Linked DNA regions of Sus scrofa. The protein of the gene in region 2 purifies or fractionates together with the protein of the main gene of each other region. This does not show direct contact. Links are inferred from orthologs where the notes say so. Each region holds a gene or a part of one and is shown on either strand. Other genes may lie near its edges.

Region 1 (3,500 bases), on a different chromosome or scaffold from region 2:
AGAGATGGTAAGTTATCTAACCGGCTCTTCTTTTGGCGAGACTGTTCTTTCTCCTTAATCAGAGCCCCCCACGCCCTCTGCAGCTCCGAGTCATCCTCCTCAGTGCCGGGCGTCCTGTGATCCACTTTCTTCGTGTTCTTTTCTTTGGTCTTGGTTGCAGATCCTAAGCGAGTCCATAAACTACCTGTTTGGGTGAGAAGGCATTTCAGCTCTGGTAGTCGATGCTGAGAAACAGGGCTACTGTCAACACCTGACATGCAAGAAACACGGGGGGATCTGTGGCACTTGCAACCACGATGCAGACCTGGGCAGACGGCCTCATTTCTCTGGTGCGGTGTAGACCGAGGGGACTGGACCCAGCAGGAGACTCTCACGGCTTGCGGATATGTGCTTCCCACGCTAGCCACACAGAATCGCCTGGGAGCCTGCTTATGCTACACCTGCCCTCTCCCGGGGAGACTCCCCATGCTGTGCACAACTTCATTCTGCCAGGAGTGGGCCATTCCAGATCATTCCCAGGTAAGACTTTGGGCAAACTGACAGGCCTGCATGCTCTCTGTAAACTTTCAGATTCTGACCACTCTTCATTACTTTTTTTTTAATTTTATTTTGTTCTGTTCTTTATCACTTTATTTATTTGGGCCACACCTGTGGCATGCTGAAGTTCCCAGGCCAGGGATCAAACCCGCACTACAGTAGTGACTAGAGCCACAGTGGTGACAAAGCTGGATCCTTTACCCACGGAGCCAATAGGGAACTCCATTATTTAAAAAATATTGATATTTAATAGAGAAATACATGTTTTGAATTCCATAGGATAGTCACACTCTAAGACAATTTAAAGTTTTACTTGTAAAGACAACAACAATGTGGAAAAATGACTATGATAAGATGATACAGGAGTTTCAGTTGTGGCGCAGCAGAAATGAATCTGACTAGTATCCCCGAGGATTCGGTTTGATCCCTGGCCTCGCTCAGTGGGTCAGGGATCCGGTGTTGCCGTGAGCTGTGGTGTAGGATGACAGCTGATTCCACCCCCTAGCCTGGAAACATCTATATGCCATGGGTGTGGCCTTAAAAAACAAAAATAAATAAATAAATAAATAGCTTAAAAAAATGCCGCAGGAACAGAGCAGGACATGTATACAGGCAAAGACTGGAATAGCATCTATGAAACCATGCGCTAAATAGAAAGAATCAGGGGTGGGTTTTCTTTTTCTCCATTTTCTGTATTTCCCATTGTTATCATTACGATGATGGCGTGGATGACAATGATTATAACGGAAGAGGAAAAATAATTTATTCTTGTCTTACGCTCTTTCCTGCCTTCTGACAGCGAGTGTTTCCACGCTCGCCCTCGGTGTCTCTGCCCTGACCCAACTCCCACGCCCATCACTTTCAAGTGTTTACCAACCTGATTTCTTCTCCCGAGTATCCGAGTAGAGGCCTTTAACGTCTTGCCTGGGAACGCCGAGCCTACTATGGACATCAGAAAAGGGCTCTCTCCGAACGACCGGATTACTACTAAAAGGCTTTTCTGGAGAATATGGTCTTTTTCCTAATCGCTGGCGTATATCTACAAAAAGAAAACACAAAGTACTACGGTGGCCACAGGCGTATGCGTTGCTGTCTGTACTCACCCCGAGGTCTCTACAGGTCCTGGTGCAAATCTCCCCGAGTAAAGGCATGGGACCCGACACAACCAAGCTTCTAAGAGCCTTCCCTCTTCACAGTCAGCCTGGACCCACCCCCCCAGCAAAACTCGAATGAGAACCCCCAGGGGCTCAAATAGGGAAAAAAATCTAGGCCAACTGCTCCAGAAAGGAATTTCTGAGACAGAATAGACTGCTTTCTGTGTGTGTGTTTGTTTTTTAAAAGTAGAATCAAGCATGGAATTCCTGTCGTGGCTTAGCGGTTAACCAACCAAACTGGTATCCATGAAGACATGGGTTCGATCCCTGGCCTTGCTTAGTGGGTTAAGGATCCGGCGTTAGGTCAAAGAAGAGACTCAGATCCCACGTTGCGGGCAGCTGTAGCTCCCATTCGACCCCTATCCTGGGAATCTCCACATGCCATGGGTGCGGCCCTAAAAAGACAAAAAAACAAATAAATAAGTAAAGTAGAATTAAGCAGAGCAAATAGTTTATAAACATTTCAACTAACAACAAATACTGCGAGCTCCCTCAGGGTGGAAGCTGCAGTCTTTAAACATATAAGAAGTTCTCAATAAAACTATTACATTTTACAATAAATGTAATGAGCCTGACAAAAAGCAAAGGATCAAAGGAGTATGTCCCAAATGAGATTGGTTTGTCTTGTAACCACTGCCTCCCACCCCCGCCTTCGGTCCAGGAAATCTGCCTGTCCCCTGAGCTCCCTCTCACAGGAACAGCACAACAAAAAGGCAGACAGGAGTGGCTGTGCTGGCCTTTCACTCATCCTGCTCTCTGAGAACAGCGTCCCCGTCTGCCAGCTGCTCAGGCCTGAGCCCCTTGGCTTCTCTCCCTTTCCTGCCACACCTCCCAGGGCCGAGTCGTCTTCCTTGACACGGTGTGCCGTTCCCATCAATCCTGTCCCCACTGTCCCTGACCTAGGTCAGGCCCTTGCTTCTTACTTAACTCTCTATTGCACCCTACCCTGCCACCAAGTTCTTTCTGCAACAGAGAGAACATCATGTTACCACCCACCTCAAAAAAATCAGGTTGGCCAACTGAGAGCCTACGTCCTCTGCAAGGCCTCGCTCTACAGCCACGACCTCTGAGAAGCCTCCCGCAGGAGATCTTCCCCCAGGTGGCCGACCGCCCCTCTCTGCTCCCACAGGCCACCGCTTACAGTGTCCCCCCCTCTGCTCTGGGTGTAATTATCCGAATGGGGGCTCTACTGCTTTCCATCTGCGTTCTGATGATGAGTTCGCACCCCCTGCAGAACTCTGACGCTCCTGGCACCTGGCCCTGGCACACAGCGAGCAGGGCCGAGGATTCACTATAAGCCTGTTTGCACATATAAACTAACCAGTTCAAATGCTTAACCATTTACACCGCAACCCAACTTAATTTCTACTGTCCTTATGTATAAAGTACACCAATGACATACAGGGTAGAATAACTGTTTGGGACAAAAATATTGAAAGCCAGTACTGCAAAGGTCTGATTAAATTTCACGTCCTAAAATCCCAATGCGTAACCTAAAATTTAGAAGTGATTAACAGCACAACTAAACTGGTCCACAAATTATAACATTTTATCCAAGAATCTATCCCTGCCCCGAATTCCTTTCTGGAACTCAGAATGAAGTCCAGAAACACAACGGAACAATACCTGTTTTAGTATTGCTGCTTGGTGGCCGTGGACGTGTGTGCTGACGTTTTTCATCTAACAAATGTCGGACATCCGCAAATTTCTCAGGCGGTAATTTGTTACCAATTCGGTTTTTTATATTGCTTGTGGATAGAGTGTCTGCCCTCATGGAGTTCCTTGAAAAAAAAAAAAGGGCGGGGGAGG
Region 2 (3,942 bases):
AAAAATGTAATGTCTTACACTTTCTGCAACAGGTTTATAATGAGCTTTACCAAAATACACACATGGAAAAAAGGATCATAAAAGTATGGCCATTTAAAACAGAAGAAAATGGAAAATACATAAACTACAAAGAATTTAAGAGAATACAGTTTAATTAAAGGTTGTTTTTAAATGTTTACAGTAGTTTAGAAGTCAAAATAAGCCATGACCCATTATATTTAGCAAAACATTTTACTCGACTACAACAAAATAAGAGTCACTTTACTAGAGCAACCAGTAGAAGTAAGGTTGCCAGCGAATTAGAAAGTGAATTAAATCAATCACAGTAATTCTGTAGTTGCTTCTAATTCTGACAAGATTTCAGAAAAATATTTCAATGATACCTACATTTTTTTAAATGAAGGACAAACCTTGAAAACAACCAACCATCTTTTTGTGGCCATATTTCAACCAGGAACTACCACAGCAAGCAGTAGATTGCAAAGGCCAATCAATGCACAATAACAACAACAAAGCCTCTATTTAATTCCATTAACCTATTCAAAAGTACAAAGATTTTATTGGTAAAATCATACAACTATGTGAGAAACATATGCTATAGGAACAAGTCAACAAAAAGTTACATTTTTACAAGAACCCTATAAAGCAGTTCCTCATTGGTGCCACAAAATTTTAATCTCTCCTTACCTCCTGCTCAGTCAGCACTAGTTACTGCACAGGGATAAGCAAGTATCACTCCATCCAGCTATACAGATTAGAGAAATGTCCATCCCAAATTAAGTATGCCAAAGCTTAAAAAATGTTCCATTAAAAGGTTCTGAAGAAAGCTCAACTTCTAAAAGTGTAGCTCAATTCTTCTTTTAACATGGGGAGAAAAACAGTAAATTTTCTTGTAAGAAAGCTAACGAAGACTGTTGAACACTTAATTGTTCCTTTACTTGCAGATATGGACCTCTTTTCTATGCAATGTTATACTCATTTAATAAAAGGAAAGGAAATTTCCTAGAAGTCTTTGTCTACAGACCTTAAAAAAGCTTAGAATCTGACCATGTAGCACTCAAGGTAATTTTCTAAAATGTCATTGACACATCTCAGGAATCACATATCCAAAATGTAAACACAATAAAAAGAAGACAGATTTTCAAACTTCACGTTTGATTACAACGGGTTACATTTAAATATATAAACGGAATAGGAAACATTAAAGCTAACTGAATTTTTTTTCTAATATTTAAAACAGGGATACAATCAATCTTCAAAAAAAGACCTGCAAGGATTTCCAGCTTTCTCTATTAAAAAAAAAAAAAAATCTTGCGTCACAAATAAGAGTCTTAATGGAGAGGGTTTTTTCGAAACCCACAAAAACACATTAACCAGTAGAATTTTACTGAGCTTCTCATAAGGACTTGGAAAATATGAAAAAAATAAAGCCTTTACGTACACTGCAGTCGGGCACAATTTGATTTTTTTAAAATGTGTTGCTACATAAAAGGCAGTAAAAATGTGAACAGTAGGTTTACAGCTTAAACGTCACTACTCTAGTAACAACCTTTTACAAGGATGCTCAACATCAGACATCACAGCTCCTGCGGCTAGTCCTTCTAGGCAACTGCGGCCTGCGATACAAGAAAAAAAACCTTGCATTCTCACTTTCTCTGGCCTCTCTTAACTCCTCGGAGGACACTAAACATTTTGCTTTTGGAAATCGGTTCATTGCTACAACCTTTATTTTAAAACTATACCATATGAAATGCGTGTGAAATTCTTTAATCACAACTCTGATCTCTTGGTGAGCTACCTTTTTTATTCCATCCAACCATCGCGCTTCCAAGTCTTCCTTTTGGCCCGAGCCACCGATCTAACTGGTATTTTCATCACAAAGGCCAAGAGCAGCTGGGCCTCAAAGGCACCGTAAGCCCTCGACCACCGGGGCAGGGCCAGCGCCACCGACTTTCACACACGATCCCAAGTCAAAGGACTTGTTGCAAACGTGCCCGCACCTTAGCCTCCTTCCTAAAGAGTGAAGGGAGGAGGAGGAAGGCACCACGCCGAAACCTGTCGCAAACGCGAGCAGGAGAGCCCAGGAAGCAGGGCGCGCGGGATACAAAGGGCCGTGAACGCGGCCTTCCATGAGGCGACCGTGCACCGAAAGGCAGACAAAATGGAGCGACTGGAGGAATCGGAGTCCGAGCGGCAGGGCTGGGGGCGAGGCGGCGGCCGGCGCGCGCCCCGCCGGGCTTCCTCCTCGCCCCGGCGGCGGGGGAGGGGGCGCCGGGGCCGCCGTTCTCCCCGCCGCGCACACGCCGTCCTGCCGCCCGGGCCTAGCGCGGCGGGAAGCGCCCGCCGGCCGCCGCCAACAATGGAGAGCGAGGCGGAGGCGCGGGAGGGGCAGGAGGTGGCTGCACGGCGGCCGGCGTCCGCGCTCGGAGCCCCGTGGCAGGTCGCCGCGCCCGCGGCCCGTGAAACGACGCGGTAGAACGACGGGCAAGGGGGGCGCCGCGCCGGGGTCGGGCGGCGCGGCCCACAGGCGCCAAGGGCGCACGGTCTGCAGCCACGCCGGCTCGCGGCCCGCGGCGGGCCCCGAGTCCTCTTCCCGCCCGTAGCGCCGCCCAACTCGGCGGCGTGAGCCCGGGCCCTCACGTACCTGGTTGAACTCTTCGCCCACATCCGCGTAAATGTCTATGTGGTCCACACCGTCCGCCATCTTCCCTCGGCCTCGGCCGCCGCCGCCGCCGCCGCCTCCTGCAGGTCCGCCAGCCGCGGCAGCAGCAGCGGATCTAGCGGCGGGGGCGGGGCGCGCTGCGTCACTTCCGAGGCCCAAGGGCCGAGGCGGGGGCGGCCGGGGGCGCCGGGCTCCTCAGCCGCTGCCGGCTCGGCCCGCCGAGAGCGGAATCTGCAGCTCCCAGTGCACCGGCGGTTTCTTTTGTGTGTCTGGGTTAGGCTCGGGGGGCGGGGCAGGGGGTGGTCCCACTTGTTTCCAGAGACTGTTGTCTCGGAGCTCTGGCACTCTCAAACGTTTGGTAATATTTGCATTTGTCGGCTTTTCTTATATTTCTCACAGCCAGGGTTTTTAGAGAGGTGGAAGTTTTAGGTCCAAGATGAAATACGAAGTGTAACCCCGCTTTCTGTGAGCGCCTTGGGAAGAGAGCAGTGTCTTACCCCTGTATCTTCAGAGGGCTACTGAGATAGGGTTGCCTTGTAAAAACTAGGTACCCTAGAAGGTTATCTTGAGTTATTTGCATGCTACTTAGGTTATTTGCATGCTGTTTATCTTTCCATTGGTATCTCCCTCCTCTTCTTTAATCTCTTCTTCCTCCCTTCATTGCCTTTCATTTTTTCCTCCTTTGATCTGCAGTTGGTTTTCTCTGGAGTAATTGAAATGCCGTTAACACGAAGGCAGTCCTTCTGGGGTTCGTCCCCCCTCCCCTTCCCACCACCACAGTAAGGTAGAGGTATGTTGAAGCGAGGGGCCTCTTAGAATCACAGAATATCGGAGAGGGAACTGGAAAAGGTGTCATTAGGTCCAAATATCTAATTTTACAGATGAGAGAGGTAACTGAGGCCTAAAGAAGCTAAATAGTGTATCCGAGTCTCGGGTTAATAAGGAAAGCATTTGCTGCCAATGAATGTAGTAGTCCCTCCTTAAAGAAGGTTCAGATCCTTAACCCACTGCGGAAAGCCAGGGATTGAACCTGCAACCTCATGATTCCTAGTCAGATTCATTAACCACTGAGCCAGGATGGGAACTCTGTGAGTAGAGTCTTGAAATCTCTAGCCATCCCACTCCAACCAGCCCTGGAAGTGAATCATCTCTCTGTTTAGCACCTCTTACACCGTACCTGTTAATAGAGGAAAAAACAGTATATGTAGAGTTTAGTACTATCCACAATTTCAGGCATCCACTAAGGATCTTGGAATATATGCCCTCAGGTAAGTGAGGAC

Evidence for each region.
Region 1: the proteins of CPSF6 (region 2) and NCBP3 purify together in Homo sapiens (co-immunoprecipitation; 3 studies listed by BioGRID and IntAct, with this or other methods). This does not show direct contact. The link is inferred for Sus scrofa from reciprocal best matches to the Homo sapiens genes CPSF6 and NCBP3.

What each region holds. Positions count from the first base shown.
Region 1 is NC_010454.4:49,887,760-49,891,259, forward strand, and holds part of NCBP3 (nuclear cap-binding protein subunit 3), read right to left. Parts: intron 3,473-3,500; coding exon 3,318-3,472; intron 1,577-3,317; coding exon 1,415-1,576; intron 185-1,414; coding exon 1-184. UniProt on the Homo sapiens protein: Associates with NCBP1/CBP80 to form an alternative cap-binding complex (CBC) which plays a key role in mRNA export. NCBP3 serves as adapter protein linking the capped RNAs (m7GpppG-capped RNA) to NCBP1/CBP80.
Region 2 is NC_010447.5:33,524,526-33,528,467, reverse strand, and holds the start of CPSF6 (cleavage and polyadenylation specificity factor subunit 6), read right to left. Parts: upstream 2,801-3,942; 5' UTR 2,705-2,800; coding exon 2,645-2,704; intron 1-2,644. UniProt on the Homo sapiens protein: Component of the cleavage factor Im (CFIm) complex that functions as an activator of the pre-mRNA 3'-end cleavage and polyadenylation processing required for the maturation of pre-mRNA into functional mRNAs.